Linked DNA regions of Struthio camelus. The protein of the gene in region 1 interacts with the protein of each later gene in a biochemical or structural test. Links are inferred from orthologs where the notes say so. Each region holds a gene or a part of one and is shown in the gene's direction. Other genes may lie near its edges.

The links.
Region 2: the proteins of UBR5 (region 1) and PCK1 form a complex in vitro, tested with the Homo sapiens proteins (2 studies listed by BioGRID, with this or other methods). The link is inferred for Struthio camelus from reciprocal best matches to the Homo sapiens genes UBR5 and PCK1.

What each region holds. Positions count from the first base shown.
Region 1 is NC_090943.1:145,520,659-145,528,191, forward strand, and holds the start of UBR5 (E3 ubiquitin-protein ligase UBR5), read left to right. Parts: upstream 1-4,496; 5' UTR 4,497-4,606; coding exon 4,607-4,668; intron 4,669-7,533. UniProt on the Homo sapiens protein: E3 ubiquitin-protein ligase involved in different protein quality control pathways in the cytoplasm and nucleus. Mainly acts as a ubiquitin chain elongator that extends pre-ubiquitinated substrates.
Region 2 is NC_090959.1:12,995,145-13,003,013, forward strand, and holds the start of PCK1 (phosphoenolpyruvate carboxykinase, cytosolic [GTP]), read left to right. Parts: upstream 1-4,839; 5' UTR 4,840-5,354; intron 5,355-5,547; 5' UTR 5,548-5,599; coding exon 5,600-5,823; intron 5,824-7,221; coding exon 7,222-7,403; intron 7,404-7,869. UniProt on the Homo sapiens protein: Cytosolic phosphoenolpyruvate carboxykinase that catalyzes the reversible decarboxylation and phosphorylation of oxaloacetate (OAA) and acts as the rate-limiting enzyme in gluconeogenesis.

The sequences.
Region 1 (7,533 bases):
TCGCTTGGCATCAAGTTTCAGCTATCATAAATCAGCAACGTATTAAAAAATCAGTCTATTACAATCCAAGACATGAACATGACAAAACATAATCCAAGACAGCAGAAAGCAAACTGCAGGCAGTGCAGTCCTCCTCAGTTGGAATTCTTTGCTTTCTAGTGTTAACTTGTAAACTATGCAGGTCATAGAAGTGTTACAAAACACACAGATGCGTTTTAAAAGCCTGATGTTCCCAGCCCCAGACAAATTACTCTTATGCTATACCTGAATAGAGGGAGACTAGGAGGTAGTAAGGAACTTGCTTTTCTTTCGCTTGGGGCACAAGGTGCTGGAAAGAGAATTTTTTTCTTTGAGGTGTACTTTGTTGATCAATATACAAACTTGTTTGGTCCTGCGAATAATTCAGAAGCTACAGTTTCCTACGCAGCATTTTTGTTGACGTTTTGAGGAATGCTGGCCTCGTTTCTTCCACAGCAAAATATCATCTTATCCTGCCAGTCTGTGATGTCATCTGTGTTGACATATGAAGTTAACAGCCTGGAAAATGCACGAGGCATCCTTAGATGCCTGATACGGTATTTCTAAGCCTGAAGCCTTGCCTCAAAAGCTCAGGGCCTCTACCCCAACTTTAGCGTGCTGCATCAGCCATAGCCACACTGCCTGTGGCACATTTGTCAGCATGTGCTTGCACTGCTTCCAGTGCAAACACCCTGCAGTCTTTCTACGATAATCCTCCCATCTCTACCAGGTCCCCTTTAGGACTAACGGACAATGGAAAGCAATGCAAACCATCTAGCCTGCAGCTGTTGTTCAGCAAGCTGCCTGGGAATAAGTCTCACTTGTTGTATATTTTTCGAAAGGTATTTCTGAAGGAAAAGTTCCTGAACAATCTGGTCTAATTGGACCTGCTTGGAGCAGAAGTCTGGACTAGATAAACGCCAGAAGCCCCTTCCAAACTGCATGAGTCTAAAAAGTTAGGAAAATGTTGACATTTATCAAAACTCAACTTCTGACATGATAGCAACAAAGCCACAGGAGTTATCTGATACGGTATTTCTAAGCTGGCAAAAGTTCTAGCAGAGACAAGTATACCAGCAAGAAACTTGTTCTGCTGGTTGGGTGTTGGTATATTTATAGTTGCACCTTAACAAGAAAGCTTCTTCTTTATCAGTAGGCCTGAAAATAGCAACTTTTTATACACAGAGGAATGCAGCAACATAAGGAACTAAATTTCTTAGGCCAAGACACAAGTCCCGTCTTAAAAGCACATGTTGAAAAGAAATAAAATTAGTTGTGTTCTTGAATTTTTACATGACTTAGTAAATGCAAATTTTTAAAGGCCATTTCATTACTGGATGCTGTCATTAGGAAAAGTCTTTTATTTTGAAGTTTCTAAGAAATAAAAACTTTAAGAATAAGCAGATCTTTGATTAGAAAGCAATTCTGTTAGGATGCATTTCAGATGAATCAAGGGACCATCAAATTCCATTGTCTATGTCATTTTCTTCTCAGAAAAACATCAAAGGACAACAAAGGAACTCAATGTATTATCATTTACTGGTACTCTAGAACTGATCTAGTATGATGTGGTCTTACAGCCTAATTAGGCAAGTATGGGCTACTTCCAATAGCACGTTGGAACTTTGATCGTGTTCCAAATTCCTGTCAGAATAAAATAGTCAGCTAAACATTAAATGTCCTCTCACCTACACCTAGCATTAGCTTCCATTCTGCACAGCAGTATAAACTCTTAGGTGTGAACAATGAAAGCTGAGATTTGCACCACCAAAGTTTATTCTGGCTCCAAGCATATGTTCCCGTGGAATCAATTTTTTTCCCTTTCTGCTTATGCTGAGTGTTTGCACTGGCACAGGCATAGGCAATGGACAGAACTGGGGTTCAGTCATAATGTAAATAAAGCTAGAGAAAATCATCACTCAGACATGCCTCAGTAGACTGCTGAGCCCTAACAGACATCTGCTCTCTTTGGGCTTTTCAAGCTGTTTTCCTGTCTTTTATCTAATAAGTTTCCACAACCCATTAACTTTTAAAACTTGCAGGTAACAGGTGGAAGAAAGAAAGAAACTGGTATCTCATCATTATGCCTAGCCCTTAACAGAATTCCACAAATTATGCTATTCCGAAGTGTAAATGCTTTGAAGAACTAGGTTGTAATCTTCAGAGCATACATAAATATCTGGAGCTTCCCAAACCCTACTAAAAATACCTGAAAGCATCCCTAAAAGATGCAGCAAGATCCACTGAAGGACTTCATGAAGTCCTTCCTACAGTTCACTGGAATAGAGAAATGACTGCCACAAAGGCAGATACTCATTGTGTAGGGGGGAAGGGAGGGGAAGAGAAATCAAACTGAGATGCAAGGTTTATCAATTGATTATCAGAACATGCAGGTCATTCTGATACAATGACTGAGGCCAAGACAACTTAGAGGAACTTCCCACTGCAGTAAACAATATAGACGTTTTCAGGGAAAATAAAAGCTGATGTTAAAAAATAACCAACCAAAAAGAACCCCCCCCCCCCGAGCAAAACTATCAAACTTCAATCAAGTGCAGAACTAAGGCATCCAAAAAACTATTAATTCTCACTTAACAGAAAAGAGGCAAAACAGCTACCCACTTAAAGTAGGACCCTTTGTTTTTAAAATACAGCTACGGCGCAGTGTCACTACAGAACAGAATTAATACTATTTTGACACCTTGCATATTTCCAGAAATGAGGATTTTTTTACAGTGTAAGCTAAATTACCTAAATTACATATCTGTACTCTCAAACCTATTTGACTGTCACTTCTGCCTGAGAACAGAACATGCTGAGAAATAGCGTCTGAGAATAGGAAATCTGGAACCTGTCCATTTAATACATTTTTTGTTCTCTTTACCACACTTCATCATTAATGATAATTGTATTGAAAAAACCTTCACAAGCTCCCCATGTCTTTGGGCTGCAAACAGCTATTTTAGTTCATTCTTGGATTAGCTCATTTCAGCTGTGCTGGGGAAAGAGCCAGGGAAGAAAGGGGAACGGGTGATGGCAAATGTCAAAGTGACATGCACTCCTCAGATTTGAGAGGGGAAGAGCAAGCTGAGATTTCTAGGGATTATGACTGCATAGGCCCAAAAAAACCCTATATCTCAGTGAACCAAGTTTCAAATTTTTTTGTAGAGTGGCAAGCATTCTGCACATGCTAAAAAATTCCAAGTCAGTTTTCTAAAATTCTGATTTCCTGCAAATAAACAGAATGAGCTGCAAAGACAGTAAAATCCAGTCAAAGCCAACGTTTAGTACAATCCCAGCCAAGGTGTTGGTTTCTGTAGAAACCAACGAATGTTTTGACTTTGTTACTCGACTTTCTGTAAATTTAGATATTAATTTCTTAAAAACCATCCCTTTTGCAAAGTATGTTCCCTTCCAAAAGCATGATAAAATCCCTTCCAGGAGCACAGTGCGCAGCCACTAAGGCACAAAGTGCTCCATGGTGTTTCAGGGATAACTTTCTACGCTGATATAGCACAAATCTGCCTGGAAAAGGGTGGAAAATTTTGGCTATTAGAGAGAAGACTGACTGTGCGACCGGCTAGTCATAGCCAGGAACTGAAAACCAGCCTCCTAACTTTGGGAAAGCAGATAACGAAGGGCAGCTAGTTCGAAAATCCCCTCTGAGGTCACCCGCGCCACAAGGAGGGCCTGAGGAGGCGAAAACCCACTGACACGCCTCGTTCGCCAGGCCCGCAGCAAAGCGTGGCGAGGCGCGGCTCCGCCCACCCGCTCTGCCTCTCTTCTCCGTTAAGCCGACGGGCAAACGGCAGCTCCGGCCAGCCCGGCCCTGGCGAGCGGAGTGGCGGCGCGGCGCGGCCGGCTCCGCCCGCCCACCCGCGGTGGCAGGCGCCCAGCCGGGGCCGCTCGCCGCCTCCCGCAGCGGAGGGGAGCGGGGCGGAGCCGCCCGCCCCCGGCGCGGCCCGCTCGGCCGCAGGGGCCGCCACAGGCCCGGCCCGGCCCGCGCCTCAGGGAGCCGCGCGCGCGCCGCCGCTGCCGCCGCCCCGCCCCCGCCGCACGCGCGCGCACGCCACCGCCAGCGGCGGCGGCCAAGGGGAGCGCCGGGGAGTTGCTCTCGGGAGCACGTGGTCTTTCACGTCCCTCGCGCATGACGTCACCGCGCTTTGCGAGACCTCCCGTCCATCCCGCCAATCCGCCGCCCGCTTAGTGGAGGGGCGCTGCCCGGCGGCGAGCGCACCACTCAGCGCGCGGCTTGCATAGCGGCCGGCCGGCCGCCGCCCCGCCTTTCCCCGGCGCGGCGCAAGGAGGGAGGGAGAAGGGCCCGCTGGAAGTTAAGATGGCGGCGCGTGTGTGAGTGCGGTGCGGGCTGAGCCTCTTCCCGGCACTCCGCTGCGGGCTCCCTCGTCCCCCGCGCCCCGCGTCGCGGCGGGCGAGCCAAGGACTCCGCCGGCGGCCCCGAGCGCCCCCGGGGGAGGGAAAGACGCCGAGCGCCCCCCTCCCCCCGCCGCCCCCCCCGCCCCCATTGTGTGCCCGGCGCCTGCCCGCCTGCCTCCCTCCGCCGGGGGGGGCAGCGGCGGCGGCGCGGAACATGACCTCGATCCACTTCGTGGTGCACCCGCTCCCGGGCACCGAGGACCAGCTCAATGACCGGTGAGGGGCAGGCCGGTGCGGCGGGGGGCGGAGGGGAGGGGCCGGCCTGGCGCAGCTCGGCCCCCGTGGGTGAGGGGAGGGGCCGGCGGCGGCGGCCGGAGCGCGGCGCGCCGAGGGCGCCCTGGGGCAGGGGCAGCGGCGGCGCCGGGCCGCGGGGGGGCGGCCCCGGTGTCGTCGTCGTCCTCTCCCCCCCCCCCCCCCGTCGCCCCCGCGCCGGGCGCTCCCGGCGCCTTCCCCGCGCGGGGCCGCGGCCGTCCTCTCGCTGCGGCCGCGCCGGCGCCGTCAACTTTGCCCCCCGCGGGAGAGGGGGTGGCGGGCCGCGACCTCCGCCGTGGGCCCGCGGCGGGGCCTCGGCTCCGCGTGCCCCGTGCCGATGTCCGCCCCAGGAAGGAGGTTATCGTGGCTCCCGGGCCGAGCGCGAGGAGGAGCGAGAATGTGTCCATTTTAATCAGAGATGAATCGAGGCAGACAATGCAGATGGGAGACCGCGGTGTGTGTGTGCGAGTGGGGAGGGGAGGATAATAGAGACGTGCATGAAGGATGTAACGCGTATGCACGCTTGGAGTCTGCTTTATGTTCCTCTTTATTTATTATTGCGGGTTATTTAAACAAGAAGGGTGGCCTGATCTTCAGATCGCTGGTTGTATGCGGCTTGGCTCAGCTTGGTATGACAGATAGAACAGAAGCACAGTGTTTTTTGGAAATCTCATAGCTAACTTTATTTTGGTTTATGGGAGAGAAATTGCAGGCTGGGAGAAAATAAAATACTTGGGAGAAAATTAAATCTATTACCTAAGTAGATTTCATTGCTGGATCTGTGTTTTACAGCCTTCTGTGTGGCTGTCAAATATTTCTTCTGTAGCAATTACTAATTGTATATGTTATAGTTAGTAAATTTCACTTGTGCCTGGTTATACGTAAATCCTTAAGAAATATGTAACTTTGCACTTTGAATTTCTTATGAATTTATGTATGAGCAAATCAAAATCTTTAATCAACACTGGATAGAAACCTAAGTATTTTTTACACTATAGCTAAATACTATTTAATATTTATCAGTGCATGTAAGTTTTTATAAATATACGTACGCTTGATTATATTTTTGTCTTCCTGGATTTTACTAAGTTTGAGACTAGATCACGGTCCATCTCACTCCACTGTTGGTAGTTTAGGCTAGGAAAAGTGATCTGTCTTTCCCGAGATGGCTCTTGTTAAAACACAGCTGAAGTTCAAGGGCTTATGAGGAGGAAAATAGGTCATTGTAAAGATAAATTTCTCCCAAACTGCATCATCCCTGTCCTTAAGCAGGGAGAAGATATTTCTAATGATAAAATAGGTCTGTGACCCAAAGCATGTTAATGTGGAGTGCATTTTTTTTTTTTTTCCCTTACCTGGATAGTACATTTTACAGGACTCGTTCTTCATGTGCCTCCTAGGAGGAGGCCTAACCTTTCCTAAGGGATTGATTGGCTTTCTCCACAGTCGTGCATTCAAAGTTGACCTACAGCTTCTTTCTTTAGAGTGACAAACTGTGAGAGGTAATGCTGTACTAGGAGTGCTTCTGCTTCTTCATCCTACTATTTTGATTTAGGGTAAGATCTAGGACTTTGATCTTGAAAGGACCTCAGTGATTTTTCTTTTTCATTTTTTTTAACGTTGATAGGCCCTTAGAAAACATTTAGCATGTAATTATCACACTTAGCTCAGAATGAAAGAGCTCATCTGATATTCTTTTAGTATGTCACCTGTTTTGTTGACTTATTGATGTTAAATACGATGTCGCTTCAGTCCTCATAATGCTTTTTTTTTTTAACCACAGCAGCAGCTCTTACAACTTTTATTTGATACAGGAAGCTTCATAAAATGTGGTAATTAATATATGGAGGAAGCTACAGAAGTGCTATTAAGTACTGACTTATTCTGAAAAATCAAGTGGCTCCTTGATCTGAGCTGCAAATCATAAATTTCCACTTCAGAAACATAATTTGACTAGAAATGTGGTAGCTATGTATCAGAACTTGTAATGCAGTGAAATCAGAATGATTCATAAATAGGACTGAGGCACATATGTATGTGCTGGAACTGGCAGTTCAATTTTATCAGTAGCATTGCTGCTAATTACTATTCTGTCAATATGTATCAGGATAGCCTAATAAATTTTCATATACGTGTACATGGAAGTTAGGATCTTGGAGCATCTCATGCATCTGCTGTGTTTCTTCCCTTTCTCACCCTTTAAAGGCTTTTTTGCATCTGTGCTACAAACAGCAGTCGGTAGCCCAAGTTATTTTTTTTCCCCATCTCCATTCTGAATGATAATTGCATCTCAATAATCAAAATTTCTCAATTTTTGGGACTATAATTCTGTGTTGCATACTTTCATTAGTAATGTACATAGCACGTGATAAACTGTATTACTTTCATGAGCACAGTTCATGAGTAGCTAGATGTTCTGCATGTAAGGAACAGTCACATTTTAAAACAATGCATTTATCAGTGTAGCCCCCATGCATTCAGGATACTTGAGTTTTGGATTTTTATAATAAAAGTATTTGATATGTCTGCACAGGTTATTAAGCATAGTGTATGAAAGGGGTGAAGTGATTTAGAAACCATCCTTCTCTTAAAGTAGATTGTATGTCTACTGCAGAATGTAACTGTAGAACCACAAATGATTGGGAATAGTCCTGACAACATGCACACATGATCTGAAAGTACTTTTTACCGAGTTTTTTTTTTTTTTTTTTTTAGATACTTATGTTGTACCTTGATGGTAGGTACTAGACCTCTCTCAAATAAACTGACACAACATTAGCTTGTCCGTGACACTCATTTAGATGTCTGGAAGCTAGCTGCTATGAAGAA
Region 2 (7,869 bases), on another chromosome or scaffold:
CCATCTGGGCTTTGTATGACTGAACAGAGCAGATGCTGCATAGGTGAAGGGAAACACACAACCTTATGCTGACTATTTTCCACTCTGTTTAGTACAGTTTGTCCCCTTCTCTCCTGGCTGCGGTTCTGCTGTGCATCCAGCCAAAAAATGTATTAACCATGCAAAAATCATACTTATGCTCTTATCAACCTTGTGCTGGCTAGGATAAAGCCAGTCACACTCTTCTTGGGCCCAAACTCTCCATGGGCCTATCAGATCCTCCATAGTAGATTAGGAGAGCTCCTAAACTCACACTTCAGAGGGTTACTAGTACATGACTACTCTTCAGGTAGCAGTGGCTACAGATCCCATTACCCATATATTCACACTGATGCCTGCTGTGGGTGTTACGTAAGGGAGAAGAGTTCTCAGATTAGAGTCACAGGTGGAGAAGGGTGCTCCAAAAGTGACTACTCATTAGCTTTAAGATGATGTGAATCAACCGCATCTCCAGAACTAATAAGGTGGTGAGAGAGAAGGATGAACAATGAGTAACATGCTGCTCAGAACCACTACATGAACCAAGACCACTAATGGGGACCGCTTGCCTTGCTTCCTCACTCTGGAAATTCTCTGAGCATGCGGTGCTGTCTCCCACATGAGATCCAGGTGTAAAATCAGAGTGTGAGGCTAAATGTCTATAAACCCTCAAGCTGCTGGAAGGATCTTCTGTCTCAGGACTGGATTATGGCCTGGGTCTGTGCTATCTTGTCACACTGACAACCCATCTCAGCAACACACATTAAAAGGTGGAAAAGTGGAATTAAAACCACAGCATCCTTTACAGACAGTCAGTATATGAGCCACAGTACCACCCTACCCACAGCTCCAGTTTTCATGCCTTACAAAAGAAAACAGAAAAGAGAAAACCTTCACCCCCGCTTGGTGAGTATAACCATATCTCAGAGCCTGTAAAAGTCAGCTTGTAAGGAAAAGTCCCAGAGTACATAGTTCCCTTGCCAAAGCAGAGGAATGACAAGCAAGAAAGCCATCTGCCTGTGGCATAATGTCAGTCTTGGCATCATGTACTGTGTGGCACAACAAGGACTTCCCCTAAAGCACAGCTCAGGGTTGAGCCCTCGAGGTGCTACTAAGCATCCAAGGTTCATGACTTTGATTAGAAAACAGGAGCAGGTACTAACGCATGGCGATTTACTTCCATTACTTTTGAGAAATTTCCATGTGTCTGTTGTCAAAATAAAAATGCTGGAATGGCTAGTGAAAGTGGCACACAATCAGGGGAAAAAGTATCAGGCTTATCCGTTGCCACTTCTCTGCAAACAGAACAAGCCACCTAACTTTGGAGACAGACAAAAAAGTTATACTGCCATGGCAATCCACCGACGTATTAAGATTAACTTGCCTAGAGACAAGTAATGGTGCATCAGTTATGACTGGAGAGGGGGAGGTAAGACAGGAAACACTGTACTCACAGTATGCTGCTCTCTATCCTTGCTGGTCCCAGAGGCTCAGTTTCACCTTTCACACAGCACAGCCCACAGGGAAAGGAACATGCGGCCCCTCTGGCCAGATCCTCCACCAAATCTAATGCAGCTGTGTCAGGTGCTGAAGAACCAGCCGAAATAAATGTAGTTGTGAGGAGGAAATATCACAGAGGAGTGTGGGGAGTTTGGAATAAACATTGGCTCTGTTGCAGAGTCTTTTGCAATTGAAGGCAAGTTGTGTAGTTCAGGTTTTCTTTGGTAAAATTCAGGGAATATTCCCTGATGTAGTCTCTGTAAGCTGTCCCTTTAGCTGGGCAAGAACTGCCCTTGGATCTGGGTTTCTGCAGCATCTAATACAGTGACAACTGCAGTATGTTCAATGTCCACTGAGCACAGCATCATAGAAGAAAAAAACAATTAAGAAAATGTTCTCGAGTTAGCAGCATAGCCCAGAGAATCTTTTAAAACAATCCTATCCTTTTATAACAAAACAACAGGTATCACATAAAAACTTGTTGTGAAGTGACGATGATTATCTAGGATGATTAGCAATGGGTGGGGGTTAATGTTTCTATTATATGCCATTAACAATTTTCAAATCTCACTGAGTGCTTTATTGCACCTCTGTGTAGCGATGAAGTCTAAAACTTTCTCGTGACACTCTCTGAGCACCTAAAGAACCTTCACATTTGCTGCTCTGAGTTCTAGTAAGTCAGTCTAAATTGAAGTGCTCAAAACCTTTATTTTGAGCAGCCTGAATGGTGTCCATCAAAGCAAACATCCTAAAAACACATCTTTCAAGATACTTATTGAACACGATCATCTAGAAATGCCAGATTCACACTTATTTAAATAGTTTGACAGCTTCCCAAGAAGACACCTGATGAGCATCACTTTCAAGTGTCAAAAAAGTACAGAGGAAAGGTGCCAAAAAAGTTTAAACCAAAGGAGTCATGCCAGCTAGTAGATGAGAGGTATTATAATACATTTACTGCTAAAAAAAAAAAAATAAAGATTTTTCATTTAAATGGAAAAAAAACTTTACATTACAGACAATTTTTTGAAAAAAACCATTACATCTCCCCACATCCCATATTTCTCACTAGCGAAATTTCCCAGCTTACTAAATCCAAAAAACAGGTGCATATATTGCATACAGCAGCACACACTGGTGTTGGGTGAGCACCTCAAAACCATTACAGCTGAACTGGAGATGCAACTTGCATTTTTTGTGGGAGCCACTGGGAGTTATGAGAATTTACAATCACTTCAGATTCAACCTTTAACACCTCATGTTGCTTATCTAAAAGTTGAATCGCCCAAATGAGAAGGTTCTTGGAAAAATCTTGACCCTAACCTGTATATGCTCCAATTATTCCATTGTTCCACAGTACAAAGTACTATGCATGTTTTATATAGGGACTTGAGGCTCACTGAGTGTTTGTAATATGCTTTGAGATCCTCTGATGAGAGGTGTTACCTAAATAAAAGTAATTTGATGCTTAAGTGTCTAGAATTCCCAGTGGACATCTGCACTCAAGCCCTGCTGCCATCACAAATGAAAAACATTTGGAATCCTTAACGTGATTTTTAATGGACATATGTTCATAACACAGTGCCACCAATTTGGCATATTTAGTGTCTTCTCAAGAGAAGCCCACAGTTTGTATAGCAAGATTGTGGGAGGTTAGGATTGCAGTGTGAGAAAATTTGCACAACACCTGCCTGACTATAATTTAATTGGCAGAAACTAATGCTCTGGGTTGGGGATTTTTTTCCCTGTACTCAAAACTGAAGAGACACTAGGACTAATCCCGCTCTGTTACACTGTCAATTTTAAGCTTTTGTTCTGGCTTTACTCGTGGTGCACTAAGATCATTTTCAAGCCTACCGTCTTTCTTTCTACAAACTGTTTTACTCTTTGTTATTTGTGTGTATAATGACTTTTATTTGGCCACCGCCAAGCACTCTGAGTATTTTTGTTCTTCACTGAAATATCAGTGTGCTTAGTATTGTTGAAGATTATATTGCATTTTTTTAAGGAAGTATTTAATCATATATTTTAATAAGAAAATGGATGGCCAAAATATTTCCGATCAGCTCTACTTGTGACACAGTACGCAGACCCAAACCATAAACACCACCGCTGTCATTATTAAGCTGTCTTTGACTTTACCTTTCCTTGCCACCAAGCCCCTTCTGGAGCAATCTTTAGCACCTCTTATCCTACCAGATTTTTTTTATTTTTTTGCAGGAGTGTTTGGCCTTGCTGTGCATCAAGGACAGCCCCTGTTACTTCACTATTTTCTTTGCTTTGCTTTTACAAAACATAATAAAAGGCTTTACAGGAAAGATAGGAGGATACAATCCCAGGGAAGCGTTCCTGTAGTCACCGGCCACTTCACTTGAGTCTTCAACTCCATGGTGTTTTACATACGAAAGCTGCCAGCCTGGCAGGAGTCCTGATTCATGCTACTCTGCCAAGCCTGGCCATTCAGGGCTTGCAAGCCAGTGCTGTCTGTATCAATGAAAGCCCTCTAGAAAAGTATTATTGACTGGCATGAACCTGGGTGGGTGGCCGGTTGTGAACCTCTTTTATGTAGTACACTCACATCAATTTTGTTGCTTTAAAGAAGTCCCTCAACCTTGGTTTAGATTGCCAGATTGCCTGTTGTGCAAACTGTTGTCAATCATGTATTTATTATACCTGGGGTGGAAGCCCCGTTGGCATCAATACTTGCAAGAGTTTGACATGAAGGATCACGTCACCCAGTCCTCAGACACTTTACTGGGACTGGGTGTAAATGGAGTGAGATGAAAAGGCAGCAGATCTTATTTCTTCACTTTTCTTTGTCTGTAAGTATCTACACAATCATGGTAAGACATGTATGTAAATATGTATATGCATATGTATATATAGCGTACTTTATACCTACACATGATGCAAGTATGCAGTCACATTCCTGAGCAGTTTTGTGCCTTGTCTTTGGGTACTAATTTAAAGATGGGTTAATATTTCATGCCCCCCCTAAACCCCCAGTAAGTTTACAAATAAGATCATAGGGAGGGGTTTGATCACTGAGACAATTGCTGACCTGCCTCTTCTTTGCGCTTGTCATAATGGAAAATAACTGTTCAGCTAAAGTGAGCCATAATCAAAAGCTTTTTCTCTCCAGCACTATAGGAAACCCAACGCTGAGATTTGCATTGCTTGTATTTTTAGAATTGCATGGACAAAAATAAGGTTGTAGGCATATATAGTGGGTACTCAGGCCTGTCACTGGTGACTGCTGAACTTCATCCCTAGATCAGGCAATGTTCCCAAGGTAAGTAAGCACACCTTGGACCAGCCTCCACTTCACAGCCAACTAGCAAGTAGCTGCTTACAGAACGCACCAACTGTGCTTTGCCTGGCTGACCCCCCGTTCCCTGTTCCAGATACTCTTTGTACTCGACCTTTCCCACACACCAAGAAATTATGATGCTTTGGGTTTCAAAGCTGAACTAGATCAAAGTTTGGACAAACGGATAAATTTTCTAACTGCTTCAGACAGCAAACGAGGGTCTAAGAATCACTGCTTTCAGCATTCATTAATCAAACCTGTTAAATGATTACCTCTTCAGGGCTGTTTTGTTGACAACTCTTCATGATGGCAATGTGTCAGTGGCAGTGTCCCAAGGCGCATTCAGTGGTGACATCAAGGACAAGCCTCCCTCACCTCACCTAGTGGGCTGGGCACTTCCACGAAGACTATTTAAGAAAGGAGAATGCCTCCTTTGAAACCAATGATCACAAGAGTATTCCAAAGCAAGGGAAATCGGATCAACTGAAAGGCACAGCAAAATCCTCTCTGAGATCTTTTAAAGAAAGTAAGTAGAATGGTGTCTATGTATTTTTTCCAGCTTTAAATTACCAACAATCTGAGTTCTTTATATTGATTTATAAGTAGAAGTACACAATCAAATCTTCTACAAATTCTACCTTTCTATTATGCATTGTAGGAAAGCAGAGTTATGCCGGTTAGAATGACATAACATGCTAACAGACAACATTTAATTTTAGCTTGTGATCAGCATTTCAAACCCGTCATCCAGATCCACTGCAGGCTACGGTAATGCCCCCACAGTTGAAGACCGAGCTAAACATCATCCCCAAGGTTATCCAGGGGGATTTGCAGAGCCTGCCTCCAGAAGTGAGAGAGTTCATTGAAAGCAATGCCAAGCTGTGCCAGCCTGAGAGCATTCATATCTGTGATGGCTCAGAAGAAGAAAACCAAAAAATTCTGGACATCATGGTAGAACAAGGCATGATTAAGAAGCTGAGCAAGTATGAGAACTGGTGAGTGGCATAAAAGAAAGTCAAGTAGGAGCTCAGAATAGTGATAAGCATTTTCTATCTGTTTGCATTTAAAAGTGCTCAAAATCCTTTAATATTTACTTTTCACGAGCATTTTGGAACTGTAGCTTACATAGGTTAAATAGGAAGAGCACAATTTTCCTCTCAAAATTAACGTAAACTATATTAATCAATTGGACTACCAACTGTACATTATCTCTATTTATCAGTTACAGAAATTGGAGAACTGAAACAATATCATGAGACTTATGTAACTAATCATTAGCAATGGTTAAATATTTTTTAGCAAATATATCTTTTGAAGAATTCTACTATTTCAGGCAATTAGTTTATTCATCAAATACTTTTCTGTGGCATTCAAATAGCTCTGTGGGTGTTCAAATACTATTCAGCACAGGCATTATTCATATTGTGCCAATGAGTTTTGACTGTAATGTATTCAGCAAATACTTTTTTCAAATATTCCCTCATCTCTCCCAACTAACCCAACATGAAAGGAGAATATTAACAAGTACATGCTTGGGAATTACGTGCTGACCAAGAAATCTTCATGGAAGAAATCTGCAAAGACTTTTGAATAACTCAGAAGTACAAGAATTTGGCAATCTGTTTGCAGACTATTTGAGAGAGAAAAGGGCAAAATTCACCAGATAAATTATTCATTGTTAATTATATGCTTAGCTGTAGTGATGATGGTTATGACAGCCCAGCTAGAACATTTTTATCCTCATAGAAAATTTCTAGGCACAGAGGTGAAAATGGTAAAGCAATCCTCTCTATTGTAAATAAATGGCAAATAAATTATTTGAAGGAGGAAAAAATAATCCTGTCTAATCAGCCAGCTTTATTTTTTATGATCATGGTAATACTCAATATTTCTTTTGCAATGCCTTTAACTTAAATGACAGTGCCAATCCACTAGGCTGGATTCTGGTCCCGCAGACATATATGTGAACATTTAAAGTACTTGCTTGGAATACATTTTGCTCAAGACATCATCACTTTGTGGTCCCTATGTAAAACTATTTTTACTTATCTGTACCAATAAGAATGAGAATTAAATGAGTTTAACTTTTCCCTGCAAACTAGCAACAGGGAATAAAGCTGATGTAAGAGGCAGAAGAGTATTAAGGAGTAATGAGAATTTCCCAAGCCATATAATTCACTATTCATTCTGCAATGTCCTGAGATACTTTGTTTGAGAGAACGAATTTGACTAATCTTTGAGGCTGTCTCAGTTGCATTGATTTTGTCACTTAAGTTCTACCCTTTCAAAACGTTTTACCCTTTTGTGCTATAGGGGTCCTACAGAAGGGTTTAAAAAGTTATATATTTTTTAAATGATTAAAGTCTAATTTCATCATTTTTGGTGAAATACAGCTGGTTGGCTCTCACTGATCCAAGAGATGTGGCAAGAATTGAGAGCAAAACTGTCATTATCACTCCAGAACAGAGAGATACCACTCCAATCCCTAAAAACGGAACTAGCCAGCTGGGCCGCTGGATGTCAGAAGACGATTTTGAGAAAGCCTTCAATACCAGATTCCCGGGCTGCATGCAAGGTCGGTGAGAAAAGGAAAGCTGACATTGCACTTTTAGAGTTACAGAAACAGTACTACTAATACTTATGATAATCCTTAATTTAAAATATTTTAGCTGAAGGTTTAGGTAGGTACTCCTGATATAAGTCACTTTGTAGGTTTCATCTGGATCTTTACAATAGATCCAAAGGTCTGCACATGCATTGTCCTCAATCTTTCTCCAGTAAACAATTCATTCTTCTTTTCATAAAGAGGGGCAAAGCAAGGTAGGAAAAGTTGGGTGACTTTTGAAGGAGTCATAGAGCAACTGAGCAGCAGAGAAGAAATTCAAGTAAGAATGGAAGACTCCCACCCCCAGCACAAATTTCTTCAGTAAAAGAACCAATAGTTTACGTGAATAGAGCACTTGGCCTCCACCCACTTTTACTACTGGCTAGAGAATTTGTCTGAAGAGCTGCATTCAGCATTTAAGATAAAACTTACTGCT